Linked DNA regions of Saccharomyces cerevisiae S288C. Each later gene encodes a partner of the first gene's protein in a complex. Each region holds a gene or a part of one and is shown on either strand. Other genes may lie near its edges. The genes, in order: SEC28 and COP1. A codon is read from its position in the direction of its gene.

Region 1 (10,302 bases):
TGCCTGAACAATTAGTTTAGATCCGAGATTCCGCGCTTCCACCACTTAGTATGATTCATATTTTATATAATATATAAGATAAGTAACATTCCGTGAATTAATCTGATAAACTGTTTTGACAACTGGTTACTTCCCTAAGACTGTTTATATTAGGATTGTCAAGACACTCCGGTATTACTCGAGCCCGTAATACAACAGAACATATGAAATATCTGGTCTCTTGGCCCAGTTGGTTAAGGCACCGTGCTAATAACGCGGGGATCAGCGGTTCGATCCCGCTAGAGACCATATTTTTTTGTACAAATCTCTTCTACTACTGCTAAGACAGTAAGTAAGAAATACGAGACTCCAACAATGTACTTTTTTTTTGCTTTGTACTGCTCTATCGATACAAAAAATCCCTATAAAATAAACATATATATGTTTGCTGCAATGAGAATGGAAAAAAAATTAAAAAAACTCACATATAATCTCAATAACGGCCATTTCTTTGGCTTTTGTTAGAAGATGATCGGCCCCTCTTATTCTTAGGACCCTTGGGGAAGTCGTCCCTATTATAGCTGAACTGGCTCGAATAATCGTTCGTTCTGTTGTTTTGGCTACTTCTGGGGAAATCTAAGGGGTGTGTCTGAACTCTTTTATTTTTCGTCACTTTGTAGTTCTGTGCGCTAAATGGTGACTTCTTCTTCCTGTTATTACTGCTTTCATATCTATTATTGCTACTATTTTTGTTCCTTGTTGACTGCACTTTGCCCTTCCATTTCATTTTATCTCTATAAGTCCTTGAGCCAGGGAGGTCGTATGCATCGTCGTTATATTCATAGTCAAGCAGGTTGAATTCATGTTCGTTATCAAAGTGTTGCCTTTGTGAAGCTTCACGTTTATAGTCTTTCAATTGGTTAAAATAGTGTTGTTTAAATTTTGTGGCTAAGTTATCACCGCAAAATGCACTTCCATCAGTGTTCGGCACTCTCGATGACCTTCTTTCAGCACAGTCATCGCCAAAATGACCGGCATTCCCACAGTTATAACAGAAAACTGTTTGAAAATCGAAGTCACCTTGGTTAGCATCTTTTGTTTTTAATAAATAAGATCTCCAAATACTAGGACATCTTTCTCTTGAGTGTCTTTTGCTATTGCAAAGCGTGCAGAACACCTTCTTCCATTTATGAGGACACTGTGATTTATAATGGCCGTTTGCATTACAATTAGTGCAAATAATAGCCTTAGGGCAGTGTTGTGAGTAATGATCATCCATAAACCCGCAGTAAGTACATATCACATGGGGACAATTCCTTTTCAAATGACCTCTTTGCGAACAATTATTACACTTTGGCTCTGCCTCCATTATCGCACCGTTTGAGTCATAATCTGTTATTCCAAAATACCGTCCTTGGCCACGTAAAGTCCTCAGTTCCTCTGGGTTAGCATCTACATCCTCTATGGAAGGAGCCAATAATTTATTAAATGATGACGAGTCACTTCCTGTCGGTGTTGTATCCTTCACATACGGCAAAGTATCGATACTTTCTACCTCAGATAACAATGTCGACATAATATCTTAGCTCCGTGGTCCGCTTCCTTTGTATTCCTCATGTGAGAATGTTGGACCTTTCCCACTCATCGCATCGCTAATTTTTAGTAATTTTTCATTTTTTCATGGACCAAGAAATTGAAAAGCCTGTCAATGAGCTTTAACAGTAGCAAGAAACAAAGACAAAGGACAAGCGCCTATGGAAGTCACTTTAGAAATATTGAAGTCACATTTTCATATAATATATAAATGAATTTACAGATGTGCCATTGTATATGCTGACGCAAACGCTTTCTTTTTACTGTTTAAATGACTCTTACCTTGTGATATGTATAAATCATCATATACGGCTATCTTGCTAAAAAATTTTTTTCGAGGAATTTTCACTTGAAAAAAATACTTGCGATGGCAACAAAAGAAAGTTAGATAAATCGTGCATTAAATGATGTGTCATCTGAAAGATTACAGGTTAACGAAAAATTAACAGCTAACAGAGCAAGAAAATAAAACGGAGATGAGTGCTAGTGAAGCAGGTGTCACTGAGCAAGTCAAAAAGCTGTCTGTCAAGGATAGTAGTAATGATGCCGTAAAACCAAATAAGAAAGAAAACAAAAAATCCAAGCAACAGTCCTTGTACTTGGATCCTGAACCAACTTTCATCGAGGAAAGAATTGAAATGTTTGACAGATTACAAAAGGAATACAATGATAAAGTTGCTTCTATGCCACGTGTTCCATTGAAGATTGTCTTGAAGGATGGAGCCGTTAAGGAAGCCACTTCTTGGGAAACCACTCCGATGGATATTGCCAAAGGAATTTCTAAATCTTTAGCAGACAGGTTATGTATTTCTAAGGTTAATGGTCAATTATGGGACTTAGATAGACCATTTGAAGGCGAAGCCAACGAAGAAATCAAATTAGAACTGCTAGATTTCGAATCTGACGAAGGTAAGAAGGTCTTTTGGCATTCGTCTGCCCACGTCTTGGGTGAATCTTGTGAGTGCCACCTAGGTGCCCATATTTGTTTAGGTCCTCCAACTGATGATGGGTTCTTTTATGAAATGGCTGTTAGAGATAGTATGAAAGATATATCTGAATCTCCAGAAAGAACCGTCTCCCAAGCTGATTTCCCAGGATTGGAAGGCGTTGCCAAGAATGTTATCAAGCAAAAGCAAAAATTTGAAAGATTGGTCATGTCCAAAGAAGATCTTTTGAAAATGTTTCATTATTCGAAGTATAAGACTTACTTGGTACAGACAAAGGTTCCAGATGGAGGTGCTACTACCGTCTACCGTTGCGGTAAATTGATTGATCTATGTGTCGGCCCTCATATCCCACATACTGGGCGTATCAAAGCTTTCAAACTATTAAAGAACTCTTCTTGTTATTTCTTAGGTGATGCGACAAACGACTCTTTACAAAGAGTTTACGGTATCTCTTTTCCAGACAAAAAATTAATGGATGCTCATTTGAAGTTCTTGGCGGAAGCCTCTATGAGAGATCACAGAAAGATTGGTAAAGAACAAGAATTATTCTTATTCAATGAAATGTCCCCAGGTTCTTGCTTTTGGTTACCTCATGGTACTAGAATTTACAACACTTTGGTTGACTTGTTGAGAACCGAATACCGTAAGAGAGGTTACGAAGAAGTCATCACTCCAAACATGTACAACTCCAAATTGTGGGAAACCTCAGGTCACTGGGCCAATTACAAGGAAAACATGTTTACTTTCGAAGTAGAGAAGGAAACTTTCGGTCTAAAACCAATGAACTGTCCAGGTCATTGTTTGATGTTCAAGTCTAGAGAACGTTCTTATAGAGAATTGCCATGGAGAGTTGCAGACTTCGGTGTTATCCACAGAAATGAATTTTCTGGTGCCTTGTCTGGTTTGACTCGTGTCAGAAGATTCCAACAAGATGATGCTCATATCTTCTGTACCCATGACCAAATTGAGTCTGAAATTGAAAATATTTTCAACTTTTTGCAATACATTTACGGCGTTTTTGGATTTGAATTTAAGATGGAATTGTCCACTAGACCAGAAAAGTACGTTGGAAAGATCGAAACCTGGGATGCCGCTGAATCAAAATTAGAATCTGCCTTAAAGAAATGGGGTGGTAACTGGGAGATCAATGCTGGTGATGGTGCTTTCTACGGTCCAAAGATTGACATTATGATTTCTGACGCTTTAAGAAGATGGCATCAATGTGCCACCATCCAATTAGATTTCCAATTGCCAAACAGGTTCGAATTGGAATTTAAATCTAAAGATCAAGATAGCGAGAGTTACGAAAGACCGGTCATGATCCATCGTGCCATTTTAGGGTCTGTTGAAAGAATGACTGCCATTTTGACCGAGCATTTTGCTGGTAAATGGCCATTTTGGTTATCACCACGTCAAGTTTTGGTTGTGCCAGTTGGTGTCAAGTACCAAGGGTATGCTGAAGACGTCCGTAACAAATTGCACGATGCTGGCTTCTATGCCGATGTCGATTTGACCGGTAACACTCTGCAAAAGAAGGTCAGAAACGGGCAAATGCTAAAATATAACTTCATTTTTATTGTTGGTGAACAAGAAATGAATGAAAAATCTGTTAACATTAGAAACAGAGACGTTATGGAACAACAGGGTAAAAATGCTACTGTTTCTGTTGAAGAAGTTTTGAAACAGTTGCGTAACTTGAAAGATGAAAAGAGAGGTGACAACGTCTTAGCTTAATGAGATTTTATGTAGTTAAATTTTGACTTATTTAATTTATGTTTTGTAAAGAATAAAATGAGTATGATGAAGGAATCTTACCTCTATTAACTATTTCTTCTTTTTTTTTCCTTCGATAAGATGTGCGCGAATTCAATATGGAAGAAAGCAATTTGGTATGCAGATGGTGTTCACCGGCAGTGTTTAAGTTACGAATATATAAAAACAAATTCAGGAACCCGCCGAATTTGGCCCAAACATATACCTATATACAAATTAGTGACCATACGCTATTATTACTCCGTCGTCTAGGAGCGGTTCCCACCATATCTCCCGCTCTGCAGTAAACGCTGATATTTGTCATCAGAAGAGGAATTATCGGTAGCATTACCATCGTCAGAAAATCCTGAGATAAATATATCGGATTCATGATCCACTGAAGCATCTGATTCCTGCGACTGATCTCTACTGGTGTTCCTTATATTTTCCCATGATGAAGACGAACTGTTGTCGCCGTTCCTGATTTTTTCCCAGGAAGACAGAACAGGACTGTCGTTTTGCTCTCCTTCAATTGGGTCAGGAGATTTTCTACCCTTATTACGATACAATCCTATAGGATCCCTTTGGTTCATAAAGGGCGAGCCGTTAAAAACTCCGCCTTTTTTCATTTGCTGCAGTTTGACTTTCGGGTCTGGCAATCTTCTCTCCGGATTTTGGTACGTTATGTAAAAGTACATCGACCACCTTGAGGGGGAGCCTGAATCTAATAAGCGCATCATATTGTACTGCCTTTGATTTCTCGGAATTTCTTTTGTTTGATCATGTTGAAAGGCTCCAAAGTCGTTGTCACCATATTTGTTGGAATAGTTATCCTTCAAAACACCTGTGGGGTCACGTTCGTTCAACTGTCGTGTATACATGGACCTACCAGCAAAATTTGTAGCAAAAAATAAAGCCATTACACCCAAGACAAAATTCCTCGGCACCTTAACACCTTTAATAGCCTTGGTCTTGTAGTAACGATAGGCAAATGGAGTTAAAAATACAGCTGAAAACCCAAGCCAACCACCCCACATCTCAGCTTTAGCAATGGATCTATAGGCCTTCGATAACTCCAGCCTGTCTCTTGCATCCAGCAATTCGTCTTTTTCATGAAATTCAATAGCATTTTCATAAGCCTTTTTAAACCAAGGCCTCTTCATAAAGGGTAGTTCATTTTCCATTCCCTTACCATTCTGGCCATATTGCTGTTCTTCTTCTTTTCCCAACATCACCTTGTTCTACGCTTGAAATTAGGCTGCTCCTTAAAACGAAAATCATATTAAGCATTGACACATAAAAAGTTCTGTTCTGCGTCAAAGTAGCATTAGCTCATAAGGCTTTCACCCTTGCTTGACTTACACCCGCGGAAATAAAAACACAGAAAAAGAAGGAAATAATGTATAAACAAGTAACTATGAACGAAATTTCCTGTTACGGATTGTTACGCTAGCTATTAAAATTCGTCTCGTCAAAGATCGACTGTAGCAGCGTGCTGCTGATGTCAAAGAATTGGGAGCCACAAGCTGGTGAAATGGTATCTGTCTTAGTACTCACAACATTCTAGGCTGCAAAAGAGGTTATACCGGAACAATAGTTGCTAAAATGGAATTCAGGAGATGGCTCCAACGCAACGATCAGGACGCCCGCTGATCTCACTCTTTAGTGTCCACACTATATAGTAACATTACATTCAATTGGAACCGTAATGTTGTATAAAATCTTTTGTCTTGCTGTATAGGTGCGTATGCAGCGTCTTCAATGGGATAAAGATATTCTATTTTTAATTTTTAAGGTGATCTTAATTTTTTGTTGGTTCTTTTTCAGTTTTTTGTCAAGCGAAAAACTACAGTTTCTACAGAAAAACACGTCAAGCTACAGTATAAGAACGGATTGTGAAGAACTCGGTGGAGAACATAGAAACAGACAAAAAATCATGGATTACTTTAATATCAAGCAGAATTACTACACGGGGAACTTCGTGCAATGTTTGCAGGAAATAGAGAAGTTTAGCAAGGTCACAGATAACACCTTATTATTCTACAAGGCGAAAACCCTTTTAGCTCTAGGCCAATATCAATCACAAGATCCTACCTCTAAGCTTGGCAAGGTACTAGACTTGTACGTCCAGTTCTTAGATACAAAAAACATTGAAGAATTAGAAAATTTGTTAAAGGATAAACAGAATTCACCATATGAATTATATCTGTTAGCCACGGCTCAAGCTATCTTGGGTGACTTAGATAAAAGTTTGGAGACATGTGTAGAAGGGATTGACAATGACGAAGCAGAAGGGACTACAGAATTATTGCTGCTTGCCATCGAAGTCGCTTTGTTAAACAACAACGTTTCGACCGCGTCCACCATCTTTGATAACTACACTAATGCTATTGAGGATACTGTTTCCGGTGACAACGAAATGATTTTAAACCTGGCTGAATCGTACATTAAATTTGCCACAAACAAAGAAACGGCAACATCCAACTTTTACTACTATGAAGAGCTATCTCAAACCTTTCCTACTTGGAAAACTCAATTGGGATTGCTCAATTTGCATTTACAGCAAAGAAACATAGCTGAAGCTCAGGGTATTGTCGAGCTATTACTATCTGACTACTATAGCGTCGAACAAAAAGAAAACGCCGTATTGTACAAACCTACTTTCTTAGCAAACCAAATTACGCTTGCTCTTATGCAAGGTCTTGATACTGAAGATTTAACAAATCAATTGGTTAAATTGGATCACGAACATGCATTCATCAAGCATCACCAAGAAATTGACGCAAAATTCGATGAATTAGTGAGGAAATATGATACGTCCAACTGATTTACGTAATATCTCACATTAAACATGTAGGTTTTTTAGAAAAAGAAAAAAATATTTCATGTATATGCCTATATACTATTTTGATAAAGCCGAATAAGATGGTACCATAAATGAGGTTGACATGGCTTGAACAAAATCATATAAAGTATAATTAACAAAGCGGAAACAACATTTGTCACGTTAGAATTATGCGTAAAGTAGCTAATCCTGGCAGAATAATTCAATGATTTTTTTTTAAAAGTATGTACACTATTATTTATTTTCTGGCATTTTGAACTAATTCTTCATTTTCTGTACGACCATGCACCCTTGATCTAAGCACTAGGGAAGTCGACATTATCATCGACCTTAAATGGGGTTGGAAGTGGAGCGTTAACATCTTTCATTTGCCTAACAGTTTCAATTAGTGCTACAGGTTCCTTGGGTTCCCTATCTCTTAAAACCACCACACCGTTATTTCCTTTGAATTTACGTACAGGAACAAATCTGTCGTCCTTAATAAAGGAAATATATCTCGATTGTTGTGGTAGTATACGGGTCATATTGTCGACTTTATAAGGTTTAGAAGAGTACTTATTTTTGTAAAATTCTTCGTCGTTTTCTTTTGTTTCTTTTATGCCTTTTTTATTCGTCTCTCTTTCCTTTTCTTTTTCCTCATGCTCTTTTTTCTTTTCTTCCTCATTTGGACCCTTTTCCTTCTTTGTCTTCTTTGCCCTTGCTTTTGCTCTTGCTGTCGTGGAAAGAACAGCTGTTGCTACCTTCTCTACCTCCTTACCACTTGCTTCCTCATACATCCTCGGATAACTGAATGCATCTTCTTTAGCGTAACAATTCATTTGAAATTTGGGTATAGCTTGATCGCTACCACGAATACCAATGACAGTTGTTGGTGTAAAAGAAAGGGATAAAAAGTGAGCCAGTGGGAACCAGTACCAGAATTGTGAGAACATGACCAAACCAACTACGGACTTGGTATCCAATGTGCCTGTATCCGCATTTTCCAGCTGAATTGTAACATTACGCCCACCGGCATTCATTATACCTTGGGCCACACATGCACCGAATTTGGCTAAACCTTCTTGGTGTTTGTTTGTAATCACGCTCAAAAAATTTTTGTTAATATCAGCAACTTGAGGGTTTAGTTTTTCTGTTTGTTGAATCAAAATCATGGATAAAGCTATCATGGCAGCCTGACGAACAAAATCTACTGGGTCCTTTGTTAGCGGATCTAAAACGTCAATAGCTGATTGTAAACCCTTGCCGGCACAAGCAATCCCAAGAGCAAATGCGGTACCACATCTGACATGAGCGTTATGCGATTTAGATAGAAGTTGGACAATCCTTGGTACAGTGGTATAATCACGCAAGAGAACAAACCCTAATGCGATGACTGCTGCCCTTCTGACATCATCGTTAGAATCCGAGACTGCCACATGCAGTAATCTCTTGACAGCTGAATTATTTCCCGTACCCGCATACGCTAACGCGATTGTGAATGCACCTCCATAGCGTAACAAGGACTCATCACTTGCTAACATCTTAGTAATTAAATCATCAGCTAACTCTTGACGGCCGTAATTTATCAGTGCTAAACCAACGGCTAGACCACGAGTAATATTGCCATGCTGCGTTTCTTGGGAATATGTAAACATATCGTGAATCGCTTCAGGCTTACCTGTTCCGAGCATACAGAGACCCATACCTAATGCAGCTGCTTCTCCAGATGTGGCAGAATCGTTGTACAGAACTTCCTTTAAGGCTTCATAAACTTCAATATTAGCAGAACCCATAGCAGCAAGACCGATACCCAGTGAAGCACCATGTAACAATACATCTACGTCTTCATCGCCTGAAGTTCCGCTATTCTCAACTATTATGTTTTTCAGATAGTCAGTTGTATCACGACCAAAGCCAGCATAAATTAAACCCAAACCATACAATGAACCACCTTTGATAAACCTAGAAGAAGCTCGACTGCCTGGCAAGTAAGGGGCCATGACTTTTTTACCCTCCAATAAATTGCCTTTATGAATTACACCTAAAGAGGCTGTAGCTGTAAATTTAGCCCAATTTTGAGCCTTACCTAACCATGGCAAGTTCGCCTTGATAAATGAATTGTCGGTAGTACCAGCGTGCATAAAACCGTTGGCAACGCTGACTGCGGTGTGGAACAAAGAAAATTTCCCATCCAAAGATGATTTAGACTTGTTTAAAAGACCGATGTCAATGTTTTTATTATTCAAAAGGAAGGTATTGTAATAATCACAAGTCGGTAGCCCAGATAGAATATTCAATAAGGCAGGATCGTAACCCTGGGCAGTTAGTTCGGTTACTAAAATCTCAAGCAACTGCTGAGACGCAGACGAAACCAAATCAAATGCAATTTGAGCAGATAATCCTTCATCGTTCTCTTCCTTTAATTTTTTAAATAGCTGAAGTGCCAATCCGGCGTCATTCAAATTTACAACTACTTTATTGAGCGTTAAGTAATCGCAGTTAGGCATATTCATTAGGAAATCAAATGATTTTCTCAATATCGAGGATCTGAACTTGGAATTTGTCACAGTAGTTATAGCTAAGGTCAATAAGTAGTTAATAATTTTAACGTTTTCAGAAGTGGAATCCTGATCCAATTTGCTCTTTAAAGCACTTTCAATGATATCCAATCTGTAACCTTCTAAGGCAATTCCTAAAGCTAATTTTAATTCTGAAGCTTTCAAACATTTTTCTATCATTCGCTCAAAAATAGAGGTTAATTTTGGGTCAATAATATCCTTGGTGTAAAATTGTTCGTCCTTAGTGTATTGCTTGGAAGCCTCTTGGACGTACATCTCAATACTCTTTGAGACTATAGTTTCAACAAATTGTGACTTTTCGTCTATATCAAAACGATCCTTTGCGGCAAGTGCATACTTCACAGCCGATTCGTATTCACCAAGATTGTAATAAACTTTGGATGCAATCAAAGCAGCCATTTCACGGTCTGAAAAGGTATCGTCATCATACAATGCCTCAATATCCGGCAGTTCATTCGAGATCTCAGACCATAATTGGTCCACAACATTATTTATAGATTCTAGGGCATATGTTTTAACAGAATCTTGATTCTCTCTCAACAATGCTAAAAGAGGAGCAGCAGTCGTCAAAGACATCTTTTCCGGTTATATTTGAACTCAATCTATTCTGGGTGGTCTTTTACTGGAT
Region 2 (12,730 bases), on another chromosome or scaffold:
ACACCATCTATCATTTCTGTGTCATCAATGGTACCACCAACTTTTTTGACCAGTCTGATATCGTTCAGGTCAACATTCTTAGAGTTTTCATCAGATATCTTCAATACGGAGTCCACTGCCAAGGGCGCCAAAAACGAAGAGTATTGAGACACAATCTTGGAACTCAAAGAAGTGGATGCAGCACGAACCAGCTGTTCTCTATCGCTCAACGAAACCTTATGGCACATTTCTAAAAGAATATCGACAGATCTCTTCGCAGCACTTTGAAAGGAGTCCGCAATGATGGTTGGATGGATGCCCTTGTTTAACAGCCTCTCAGCAGCACCCAATAGAGCTCCGGTCAAGATCACCACAGAAGTGGTACCATCACCGGCTTCCGAGTCCTGCGCGGCAGAAACCTCTACTAGCATTCTGGCCACCGGATGCAGAATGGCCATCTGTTTTAGAATGGTGTGGCCATCATTAGAGATGATGATTTCTCCACGAGATGTCTTAATCATCTTGTCCATACCCTTGGGACCCAATGAAGTACGGATGGCATCTGCAACAGAACGTGCAGCGATGATGTTGGCTTTGCGAACCTCTTGAGGTTTTTCCTTGTTCTTAAACGTGGCGTTAGATGGAACTTTAGCAGACATCGTTCTATACTCTCCTTTACCCGTCTTGCACACTTGCCGCACCTCCAATTACAATTCATAACCTTCATGCCCACTTAGCTATATCAACCTCTTGAACTGTATTCAATTAGCCTTTCTTGGTGGCGAAACGAAAAAAATTTCAGTTTCCCCGTGGCAAGTGATAGTAATACCAAATTATATAGCCTTAATTAGGACATATTGATATACCTCATAAACTACAGTCCCGGTGCCAGGATACAAGTTGGCATAAGCTAATGTCGAAAATGTCTAGAATACTAGTTATCGGGGCAGGTGGCGTTGGGGTCATTACTGCGCTTTCGTTGTGGCTTAAGAAGGAGAGCGACGTTTCCTTGGTAGTCAGATCTGACTACGATAGGGTATTGAAGCATGGCTACACAATCGAATCATGTGACTATGGCCGGTTAGAAGGTTGGAGACCCCACCATATTTACAGCAGCGTCGAGGACGCTGCTTCTGCCGCAGACAACCAAGGATACAACTATATTGTAGTGACTACCAAGAACATCATAGATGGGCCCGTTAATTCAAGGGTGTCCAACATCATCAGACCTGTGCTTGAGAAGAATAAAGAGCTACATGGGCCGCAATTGACGACACACATTTTACTGGTACAGAACGGAATCGATATTGAGAAGGAGATATGGGCGGAATTTCCCAGAGAGCAGTATCGTTACACGGTGCTTTCTGGCATCCAGTTAATCGGATCCACTAAGATCGGGTCAGGCCATATCAGTCAAGTGGGCCAGGACCACTTATCGTGTGGAGCTTTTGATCCACAGGACGCTGCTGCTATCCAGGCTGCCAACGACTTCGTCAGGATGTACAGCAACGAGGGGCAAAACTTTGTCGAATTTGACCCTAGGGTCCGTTACTCTCGGTGGAAGAAGTTGCTCTACAATGCAGCTATCAACACATCCACGGCACTTGTGGGGCTAGACGTTCCGCGTTGCCTGGAGTTTGGGGTTAACAAGAAGAGCACAGAAATTGAAGTGTTCCACCCTGCCATGAGGGAGATCATCGCCATTGCGGCGAGTGAAGGCATCATTATCGAAGAGGAGTTCATAACGATGTTTACAGAGATTACCAGGAAAAAGGTGTTCAAGCCATCCATGTGCGTGGACTGCGAGAAGGGCCAATTGATGGAGCTAGAAGTCATCCTAGGCAACCCCATAAGAATCGCGAAAAGAAACGGCGTCGCTACACCCACTCTTTCTATCTTATACAACCTACTTGTGCTAGTACAGGCCAAACTAAAGGAGCGGAAAGGCCTATTGAAGTTCGACGAAAAAACTGCCACTCTTGTGGACGAGTAGTTCCAACCATTGCTTGCCTCGTTGACGAGCCTTCATCTAGTATATTGTAACACATAATTTAGTATGTACTCTTAACTATTATTCTTATTGTCAGCATTTATACGACGTACAGAGCGACCGAAAATTTCGACAACACGAAACGAAATCGACAATTTGCCAACTTGAATAAATAACAGATCCGTCTTCGAGACTGTGACGATTGAGCCTCGATTCAGTAGCATACAGGGACCACAAACTTGTTTGAAGAGGCATTGCAATTAGGTAAATCATAGAATTGGCGAAACCAGCAGGATTTTCCAAACATTTGTTACTTACCCCCTTCTTTGCTTAAGATATAAAGTTTTTTCTTTTTATTTTATCTTCCCTTTACACTTTTGAATAAAAACATTATCATACCTGTTTACAAATTCGCGGTTTATTTAACCTGAAATCAGTATACTTTTTTTCTTCTGTAGTGTCTTTGTTCATTTCATTACTGGATCAAGATGAAGATGTTAACTAAATTTGAATCAAAGTCCACTAGGGCCAAGGGCATTGCCTTCCACCCCTCCAGACCTTGGGTTTTGGTGGCTTTGTTTTCCTCTACTATTCAATTATGGGATTACAGGATGGGAACACTACTTCACAGATTTGAAGACCACGAGGGCCCTGTTCGTGGGCTAGATTTCCATCCAACCCAACCGATTTTTGTTTCGGCAGGTGACGACTATACCATTAAAGTTTGGTCCTTAGATACTAACAAATGTCTATACACCTTAACTGGGCATTTGGATTATGTCCGTACCGTGTTTTTCCACCGTGAGCTGCCTTGGATCATATCTGCTTCTGATGACCAGACCATAAGAATCTGGAACTGGCAAAACCGTAAGGAAATTGCATGTTTGACCGGCCACAATCATTTTGTCATGTGTGCTCAATTTCATCCAACCGATGACCTGATCGTTTCCGCTTCTCTGGATGAAACCATCAGAATTTGGGATATTTCCGGTTTAAGGAAAAGACACTCCGCTCCTGGTACTAGTTCATTTGAGGAGCAAATGAGTGCACAACAAAATCTATTGGATGGCTCTCTTGGTGACTGTGTTGTCAAGTTTATTCTAGAGGGTCACACAAGAGGTGTCAACTGGGCCTCTTTCCATCCAACTTTACCATTGATTGTCTCCGGCAGTGACGACCGTCAAGTTAAATTATGGAGAATGAGTGCTACGAAAGCTTGGGAAGTTGATACTTGCAGAGGTCACACTAACAATGTTGATAGTGTTATCTTTCACCCACATCAAAACTTGATCATTTCTGTCGGTGAAGACAAAACGCTAAGGGTTTGGGATCTTGACAAGAGAACTCCAGTAAAGCAATTCAAAAGAGAAAACGATAGATTTTGGTTGATTGCAGCACATCCTCATATCAATCTATTTGGTGCAGCTCACGATTCTGGTATTATGGTTTTCAAGCTCGATCGCGAAAGACCATGCAGCTTTATCCATCAAAACCAGTTGTTTTTTGTCAATGCGGAAAAGCAAATCCAAAGTTTCAATTTCCAGAAAAGAGTCGCTTCATTACCTTATGCGTCCTTAAAGGGTATTGGTCAACCTTGGGATGCATTCAGAAGTATATCGTACAATCCCTCCCAACATTCAGTTTTGGTTAATGAAGCTAATGGCAAATTTGCTCTCGTTATTTTACCAAAACAACCAGTTGGAGCTGTGGAGCCAACAAGTGTCACCCAAGATACAGGTAATTTTGCTACTTTTGTTGGTCGTAATAGATTTGTTGTTTACAACAAGAACACTGAATCTGTTGAAGTTCGCTCTCTCGAAAACAAAGTTACAAGAAATATCAAAGTAGAGGAAACAGTAAGAACTATTGTAGCTGCAGGTCCTGGATCTGTTTTGGTCATACACCCCAGAGAAGTTATTCTTTATGATGTCCAACAGGGCAAAAAAGTATCCCAATTGGCTGTTAAAAACGTCAAGTACGTTTCGTGGTCCTTAGATGGTCAATATGTTGCATTGATGAGTAAGCACACCATAACTTTGGCTACCAAAAAGCTAGAATTGATTAATTCTATGCATGAAACGATTAGAATCAAAAGTGCCGCTTGGGATGAAACTGGTGTATTAATTTATTCAACTTTAAATCATATAAGGTACTCACTATTGAACGGGGATAGAGGTATTATTAAAACTTTGGAGAAAACTTTATATATCACAAAAGTTCAGGGAAAATTAGTGTACTGCTTGAACCGTGAAGGTGAGATTGAAATTTTAACCATTGATCCTACAGAATATCGCTTCAAAAAGGCCCTGGTTAACAAAAATTTCCCAGAAGTTTTACGTCTGATAAAAGATTCTAATTTGGTTGGCCAGAATATCATTTCCTATCTGCAGAAGTCAGGTTACCCAGAAATTGCTTTACAATTCGTTCAAGACCCACATATCCGTTTTGATTTAGCTTTGGAATACGGTAATTTGGATGTTGCCTTAGATGAAGCCAAAAAACTGAATGATTCTAGTACTTGGGAAAGATTAATCCAAGAAGCCTTGGCACAAGGTAATGCCAGCTTAGCTGAAATGATTTATCAAACTCAACATTCTTTTGACAAACTTTCCTTCCTGTATTTAGTTACAGGTGACGTTAACAAACTATCTAAAATGCAAAATATCGCTCAGACTCGTGAAGACTTTGGAAGTATGCTATTAAACACCTTTTACAACAATTCAACCAAGGAAAGATCTAGCATTTTTGCAGAGGGCGGCTCTTTACCATTAGCTTATGCCGTAGCAAAGGCTAACGGAGATGAAGCGGCTGCTTCTGCTTTCTTGGAGCAAGCTGAAGTTGATGAACAAGATGTTACTTTACCAGACCAGATGGATGCCTCCAACTTCGTTCAAAGACCAGTGATCTCAAAGCCACTTGAAAAATGGCCATTAAAAGAGGCTGAACTATCTTACTTTGAAAAGGCTGTTTTAGGTCAAATTGACGATTTGACTATAGACGATGAAACTCCAGCAGTAAACACCACTCAAGAGCAAGAAGAACCACTAGGCGAAGAAAACTTTAACGATGAGGATATTGGTGAAGACGAAGGTGCCTGGGATTTGGGTGACGAAGATTTGGATGTGGGAGAAGAGTTACCTGAAGAAGTTGAGCAAGGCGAAATTACCTCTCCAGCACAGGAAGTTGAAACAGCCATTTGGATCAAGAATTCTAAACTGCCTGCTGTCCTAGTTGCCGCTGGTGCCTTTGATGCCGCTGTTCAAGCCTTGAGCAAGCAAGTGGGTGTAGTCAAGCTGGAGCCATTGAAGAAATATTTTACCAACATTTATGAGGGTTGTAGAACATACATTCCTAGTACGCCCTGTGAACTTCCTGCTCAATTAGGTTATGTCAGAGCGTATGATGATACCGTAAGTGAAGATCAAATTCTTCCTTACGTGCCAGGTCTTGATGTCGTTAATGAAAAAATGAATGAGGGTTACAAAAACTTTAAACTAAACAAACCAGATATTGCAATCGAATGCTTCAGAGAAGCTATCTACCGTATTACGCTATTAATGGTCGATGATGCTGAAGATGAAAAATTAGCACACAAGATACTGGAAACTGCTAGGGAGTATATATTAGGTTTATCCATTGAATTGGAACGCCGCTCATTAAAGGAGGGAAATACTGTACGCATGCTTGAGCTAGCTGCATACTTTACAAAGGCAAAACTATCCCCAATTCATCGTACCAATGCTTTACAAGTGGCTATGTCCCAACATTTCAAACACAAAAATTTCTTACAGGCCTCATATTTTGCCGGTGAATTTTTAAAGATTATTTCTTCTGGTCCTCGTGCAGAACAAGCACGTAAAATCAAAAACAAAGCCGACTCAATGGCCAGTGACGCCATTCCAATTGACTTTGATCCTTATGCTAAATTCGATATTTGTGCAGCCACCTACAAACCAATTTATGAAGATACACCTTCCGTTTCTGACCCATTAACAGGTAGTAAATACGTTATCACGGAAAAAGATAAAATAGATAGAATTGCTATGATTTCTAAGATCGGTGCACCTGCATCCGGATTAAGAATACGTGTATAAATGCTATTTTGCCTATTGATTTTCTCGGGATTGTATTCTGCTCGACCTAAATTTCATGTGACAAGTCCTTTTAATCTAAACAATATGATAGTGAAAAAAAAAAACTGACTATGTAATTAACAGTTATATACAACTTCTAAAATAAAAAATATCGCCTATTTTAACAAGTGACACACAACCTGAAATTCTGCCAGCATGTATTCGGAAGCAACCCGAACTTTAGTTTTATAGTTACGATTGTTGCATTTGTATATAAAAAGTACAATGTGTCATTAGATACTGCAGTGAGTAGAAGAAGAAATGGTCGGAAGAACCACATTAATGCAAGAAGAAATAATGCTTTACTTATTTTGGAGTTCCACATTTTCTTGATGGAGGAGGAGGAGGAGGCGGAGGCGGAGCTTTAGCCTTTCTTTTAGTCAAAGATTCTGCAGAAACATCTAATTCACGATTACTATAAAGATGGCCTTTACGAGCCAAGATATTTTGATTGTCGGGCGTCCCCAATGCAACAATGCTAGAGTTTCTACTAGTGTTATTACTAGAGACCGATGAACCTCCATCTGAAGGCGTTGAAGGTGTCTCTAACCAAGGAATTTGTTGAAGACACTTCCGAGATAAGGCCACTGTAACTTGATGCTCGTGCAACGCTGGACTGTCAACGCATATATTATCTAAAGTCGACAAGTAGTTTAATAGTTTATTCAAATCATCCTTTCTATAATGTGTTTTGGATAATTGTGTATTCTTTAATAGCGGAATCAGAACCCTTAGAAGGGTGTTTCTCAATACCTCTTCATCCTCACTGATATTCTGTAGTTCTCTGATTAATACATCGATAAGAACACGTAAGTCGTTTGTATAAAAGAAATTCATCGGAGAGTAGTCTCCTCTTGGTGTCAAGATAAGATAAATAATTTTGCACATCATAATTTGTAACGGAGGGTCCGATGCCCTATTGAATTTCAGTAATAATAGCTCCGTAAAACATCTTGAGACAGACCCATTGATCAAATACTTATAGACCTTGTTCTCAATGTCGTACTCCTTGGCAAACATCATATATTGTTCGTTCAACGCCAACAGCAGTTTAAACTCCGCGTTATTGAACATATCGTCCATAGTGTCGGACCTCATTGATTCCATCATATAGTAAACAAAAAAGTCATCCACAATTTGAAGATTAGCAATAACACACTTACAGTACTTCATAATTTGAAATAACAAATCCATCAAAACAGTTGAAATTTGCTTCATTTCGTCTATAATACCCAAATCAATATCAGTCAAACTTCGGTCTAAACTGTCCAAGGATGTACCTGTGCTAGAATTATTAGAATTGTATTGATGTTTAGAAGCAACTGTCCTTTCCTTTCCGTATTTGCTCAAATAGGCGAATTGTGTGTACAAGGTATTATAAAACACAGTAAATCCTTGGAACTTGAGCATGATTTCTAAGGAGTACACGTTTTTTTTCGCCTCACAGAGAAGAATGTAAACAATAATGAACTTCATATTCATTTCCAGTAGGTCTATGTTGAGTAACGACTGCAACTTACTTAGGCAAAACTCTTTTTTAAATTCAAATAAGGACGATTCTAACAGTATTAGCGACATCCGGTAGAGGTCACGATCAGTATTAATAAAAACCTTATAGGAATCAGTAGCAAACTTCAGGTAGGCAACCAGGCTTGAGTTAACATGGGATTCATCCAAGTTTTCCTTTGGTATGTTAGCAATAGACTCAGTTTTTTCCCAAAACTCAATTATTTCATCTTGAGTATGATTTTCAATATTTGGAGATAATGGATCTAATATCATGAGTCAAAATGAAAGGAAAAATGTTCGAAGAAAGTATAGGCTAAAGTGACATAAGTTAATCGAAAAAAAAATATTCAAAGTTTAATTCTTGTTTACTAAATGAAAAAAATATTTCACTGTTTAAAGATATGTCTATAGGTGTAGTAATTAATGTTCAGAGTTTTGCTAATCAAACGAAAAAATGACTCTTTACGCTGCTATTAATGTCATTTAAATACCATAAACAGTTTACCGTTTTGACTTTTCACTTTTTTTTTGGGTGTCTTCTTTCCCCTGAAAAATTGAAAAACTAAAATTCCATTAATTGTCACCTTATGTTTTGTGTAAGCAAGTGAAGAGAATGAGAGCAATACGTGGCCATTTTCCATTTGAGTTATATATATGCATAGATAATTTTATCTCACGTACGTAAATACACATTTCGATTAGTAACAGATTTAAAATCAAAACCGGATCTGAGATAATCCGACACTTACTCGAAAATCTCTTCATTTAGCTTGCAAACCGTGCATGATTTCCTCTTTTGTAATTAAATGGCCTATTGTTTCTATATGTTCTAATAGTTCGTCAACATTATGTGACCATTCGTTCAATAATTGGCTTGAGTTTTTTGGTTTTTCAAAATTCACGATTTTGGCTGGGCGATTAACTTTAGCGTATATGATGCCCTGGTTTACCAAATCACTGATGTATGTTTCCGTCTGGCTCTCCGTTAGGTCCAGCAATTCATTCAATCTTAGTAAAGTAATTCTGGAATAGTATTCGGAAATGACTCTTAAATTGTGCTCGATGACCCTTTTTTGTAAATCTTCCCAGTGATGCTTATTAGCTTCTCCACCAAATGCCAAATCATCCTCATTTAAGACGGGCTCATAGGTTTTTTGAACAATTGGCCATCTCATCAACTCATTCGTAGTAAACAATTTTACTAAAGATTCTTGGCTTTCTAATTTTTTCAGGTTGTTATCATTCTGGATTTTGTGAATTAAATCATTTTGTAAATTGCCGTAAGGTGAAAGGACTAAGAAATATACAATGTGCGATAAAACAGGTTTCCACTTAGCCTCATCTGATTTAATGGCGTCTGTTTGATAAATTTCTTGCAGATACTGCGCAACTTCTAGGTATTCTCTCTTGTGCAAACTAATTTTTACCAGAAGATTATAATATTCTAGCTTCAATGACTCGTATTTTGGATTTTTAAAAGTTTTTTTCAGAATTTTTCTTGAAAGCACCGTGGCTTGGGAATAATCACCTTTTAATATACTCAATTCCATTTGCTCTAATATAAACTGAATTTTCTCAGACATTTCCATGGAGCCATAGGTCTCAACCTGTAACTCACACAAGATGTCTGCAGCTTCATCAATCTTACCCTCTTCTTTCTTAATTTCCACCAAATCTTTGGTGACCCTAGCTCTTTCCACTTCTACAAATATTTTGTTCTCTGTAACCACCCTGATAGTTTCAATGACACTAATTCTGGTGTTTAAATCCAAAGATTTCGAGCTTTTCAAATATTCCATAACCTTTTGTATCATATACTGAATTGACAATTTCAACTGACCATGCTTTTTTGAGAGTAGAGTCAATTGCTCATTTAGGTCGTCCCACTTATTCCTTGATGCTAGCAGATCTACAATCTTGGCCAAAACTTCTTTCGAGGAGGCCAGATCTGAAGCTTGTCTGGTTTTCTTCTCCAACACTAACAGTTGGTCTAAAGCAGAGTTACAATCATTTTGAGCGAGCGAATCGATCTTAGGAAACTCTTCCTTCAAAATTTGGCTATAATCCTTGTCAGCCTTAATTGGTGCATCTCTTGACATCTTTCTCTACGTTTACTCTAGCAACAAAAATGGTAGTGAGCCCAGCAGTATATTCCTCTACTCTCTTAATTCAAGATTATCTCTGATGTAGTGTCCTGTTATGGTTTTTCCTTGGATTCCCCTTTGCATTTTGCCACCGAAAAGTCAAAAAGATCACATACAAGACGGGTAATATTGGGGCGATGAGCCGTACAGAACGAGTGAAAAATTTTAGGATTTATTAGGAATAATAATGATAATTTAGAGATGAGCATTTAGCGAGAAGCATCTGAAGGTTGCACTAATTATTACTGTAAATAGTACAGTTGAGAAGCAAATAAAAGGGAAGATCAAATACATGGCCGGTTCACAACTTAAGAATTTAAAGGCCGCCTTGAAGGCCCGTGGACTCACAGGTCAAACAAACGTCAAAAGTAAGAATAAAAAGAATTCCAAAAGACAAGCGAAGGAGTATGATCGTGAAGAAAAAAAAAAGGCCATTGCTGAAATCAGAGAAGAGTTTAATCCGTTTGAAATAAAGGCTGCAAGGAATAAGAGGAGAGATGGTCTGCCTTCTAAAACTGCTGATCGTATTGCTGTGGGTAAGCCTGGTATCTCTAAACAGATCGGTGAAGAACAAAGAAAGCGTGCATTTGAAGCAAGAAAAATGATGAAGAATAAACGTGGTGGTGTGATCGATAAGAGATTTGGTGAAAGAGACAAGTTGTTGACGGAAGAAGAAAAAATGTTGGAACGTTTCACCAGAGAAAGACAAAGCCAATCAAAGAGAAACGCAAATTTATTCAATCTTGAAGACGATGAAGACGACGGTGACATGTTTGGAGACGGTCTTACACATTTAGGTCAATCGCTGTCCCTAGAAGATGAGCTTGCCAATGATGAAGAGGATTTTTTAGCTTCCAAACGATTCAATGAAGATGATGCTGAGCTACAGCAACCTCAAAGAAAAAAAACCAAAGCTGAAGTCATGAAAGAGGTCATTGCCAAATCAAAATTTTACAAACAAGAAAGACAAAAGGCTCAAGGTATAATGGAAGATCAAATAGATAATCTGGATGATAATTTCGAGGATGTTATGTCTGAATTGATGATGACGCAACCCAAGAAGAATCCAATGGAACCTAAGACCGATCTAGATAAGGAGTATGATATCAAAGTGAAAGAACTACAATTGGACAAAAGAGCTGCACCCTCTGATAGAACTAAAACTGAAGAGGAGAAAAACGCTGAAGCTGAAGAAAAAAAACGGGAGTTGGAACAACAGCGTCTTGATCGTATGAACGGTATGATTGAATTAGAAGAAGGCGAAGAAAGAGGAGTAGAGGATTTGGATGATGGATTCTGGGAAAATGAAGAAGACTATGAAGACGATAATGACGGTATTGCTGATTCTGATGATGATATCAAATTTGAAGATCAAGGCAGAGATGAAGGGTTTTCTCAAATTTTAAAGAAAAAGAACATTTCCATTTCATGCCCTAGAACTCATGATGCGTTATTAGATCAAGTAAAAAAATTAGACTTAGATGATCATCCTAAGATTGTTAAGAATATTATCAAAGCTTACCAACCAAAATTGGCTGAAGGTAATAAGGAAAAGTTAGGAAAATTCACCGCTGTTTTACTGAGACACATCATTTTTCTAAGCAATCAAAACTACCTTAAAAACGTTCAAAGTTTTAAACGTACACAAAATGCATTGATCTCAATTCTAAAATCCCTTTCAGAGAAATATAATAGAGAGCTTTCCGAGGAGTGTAGAGATTATATCAATGAAATGCAAGCACGCTATAAAAAGAACCATTTTGATGCTCTATCAAATGGTGATCTGGTATTTTTTTCCATTATTGGTATTCTTTTCTCCACCTCGGACCAGTACCATTTAGTAATAACTCCAGCATTGATTTTAATGAGCCAGTTCCTGGAACAAATCAAGTTTAATTCTTTAAAGAGGATAGCTTTTGGCGCTGTCTTGGTAAGGATTGTTTCACAATATCAACGCATTTCCAAACGGTACATACCGGAGGTGGTTTACTTCTTTCAAAAAATATTACTCACTTTTATAGTTGAGAAAGAAAATCAAGAAAAACCATTAGATTTTGAAAATATTAGACTAGACTCTTACGAGTTGGGGCTTCCATTGGACGTTGACTTTACAAAAAAGAGATCAACTATTATTCCATTACATACCTTGTCAACAATGGATACCGAGGCACATCCGGTTGATCAATGTGTCTCCGTTTTACTAAATGTTATGGAATCTTTAGATGCAACTATCTCTACTGTGTGGAAGAGCTTACCTGCTTTCAATGAAATTATTTTACCGATTCAGCAGTTATTAAGTGCATACACCTCAAAGTATTCTGATTTTGAAAAGCCAAGAAATATTTTGAACAAAGTTGAAAAATTAACGAAATTCACAGAACATATTCCGTTGGCTTTACAGAACCACAAACCCGTATCCATACCTACGCATGCTCCTAAATACGAAGAAAACTTCAATCCTGATAAAAAATCGTACGATCCTGATAGAACAAGAAGTGAGATAAATAAGATGAAGGCCCAACTAAAGAAGGAACGTAAATTCACTATGAAAGAAATCCGTAAAGACGCCAAATTTGAAGCTAGACAAAGAATTGAAGAAAAGAACAAGGAGAGCAGCGACTACCATGCAAAGATGGCTCATATTGTTAACACTATTAATACCGAAGAAGGTGCGGAAAAAAACAAGTATGAAAGAGAAAGAAAACTACGTGGCGGAAAGAAATAACCAATAATAATAATTTATTAACCTCTTTTTTTCTTATTAGGCTTCTCAGAGACAACTGTATTATTTATGAAAAAGAAAAGAACTACTCATTTCTAAAACAGGGAAGGGATTCTCTTATTATTGTAGTACAAAATTAGTGGGAACTGAATAATATATGCATTTAGGTAAATACGAAAAAGAAAGGAAACAGTTATATATATAGTTATATTGGATGATGTACACGACACAGTCTGCCTTATCTTCCGACGTC

The links.
Region 2: the proteins of SEC28 (region 1) and COP1 are in contact, whole or in part, in a crystal structure (PDB 3MV2), measured with the Saccharomyces cerevisiae proteins. Residues at the interface, in NP_012189.2 of Saccharomyces cerevisiae: Tyr11 (codon at 6,238), Lys39 (codon at 6,322), Tyr63 (codon at 6,394), Leu67 (codon at 6,406), Tyr90 (codon at 6,475), Thr94 (codon at 6,487), Ala97 (codon at 6,496), Ile98 (codon at 6,499), Leu126 (codon at 6,583), Leu127 (codon at 6,586), Glu130 (codon at 6,595), Leu133 (codon at 6,604), Leu134 (codon at 6,607), Asn136 (codon at 6,613), Val138 (codon at 6,619), Leu166 (codon at 6,703), Tyr170 (codon at 6,715), Phe173 (codon at 6,724), Ala174 (codon at 6,727), Thr175 (codon at 6,730), Asn176 (codon at 6,733), Glu178 (codon at 6,739), Thr179 (codon at 6,742), Ala180 (codon at 6,745), Lys198 (codon at 6,799), Leu201 (codon at 6,808), Gly202 (codon at 6,811), Asn205 (codon at 6,820), Leu208 (codon at 6,829), Gln209 (codon at 6,832); in NP_010136.1 of Saccharomyces cerevisiae: Glu900 (codon at 5,155), Gly918 (codon at 5,209), Phe920 (codon at 5,215), Asp921 (codon at 5,218), Val924 (codon at 5,227), Leu936 (codon at 5,263), Glu937 (codon at 5,266), Leu939 (codon at 5,272), Lys940 (codon at 5,275), Phe943 (codon at 5,284), Thr944 (codon at 5,287), Asn945 (codon at 5,290), Tyr947 (codon at 5,296), Glu948 (codon at 5,299), Gly949 (codon at 5,302), Arg951 (codon at 5,308), Thr952 (codon at 5,311), Tyr953 (codon at 5,314), Ile954 (codon at 5,317), Pro955 (codon at 5,320), Ser956 (codon at 5,323), Thr957 (codon at 5,326), Pro958 (codon at 5,329), Cys959 (codon at 5,332), Glu960 (codon at 5,335), Leu961 (codon at 5,338), Pro962 (codon at 5,341), Ala963 (codon at 5,344), Gln964 (codon at 5,347), Leu965 (codon at 5,350).

Annotation. Positions count from the first base shown.
Region 1 is NC_001141.2:210,451-220,752, forward strand, and holds SEC28 (coatomer subunit epsilon), read left to right. Parts: upstream 1-6,207; coding exon 6,208-7,098; downstream 7,099-10,302. Other genes in the region: AIR1 (TRAMP complex RNA-binding subunit), read right to left, coding at 473-1,555; threonine--tRNA ligase THS1, read left to right, coding at 2,049-4,253; RCI37 (Rci37p), read right to left, coding at 4,541-5,503; proteasome regulatory particle base subunit RPN2, read right to left, coding at 7,413-10,250. UniProt on the Saccharomyces cerevisiae protein: The coatomer is a cytosolic protein complex that binds to dilysine motifs and reversibly associates with Golgi non-clathrin-coated vesicles, which further mediate biosynthetic protein transport from the ER, via the Golgi up to the trans Golgi network.
Region 2 is NC_001136.10:187,904-200,633, reverse strand, and holds COP1 (coatomer subunit alpha), read left to right. Parts: upstream 1-2,457; coding exon 2,458-6,063; downstream 6,064-12,730. Other genes in the region: chaperonin-containing T-complex subunit CCT4, read right to left, coding at 1-638; YDL144C (uncharacterized protein), read left to right, coding at 902-1,972; LDB17 (Ldb17p), read right to left, coding at 6,409-7,884; proteasome regulatory particle lid subunit RPN5, read right to left, coding at 8,373-9,710; snoRNA-binding rRNA-processing protein NOP14, read left to right, coding at 10,048-12,480; autophagy protein ATG9, read right to left, coding at 12,716-12,730. UniProt on the Saccharomyces cerevisiae protein: The coatomer is a cytosolic protein complex that binds to dilysine motifs and reversibly associates with Golgi non-clathrin-coated vesicles, which further mediate biosynthetic protein transport from the ER, via the Golgi up to the trans Golgi network.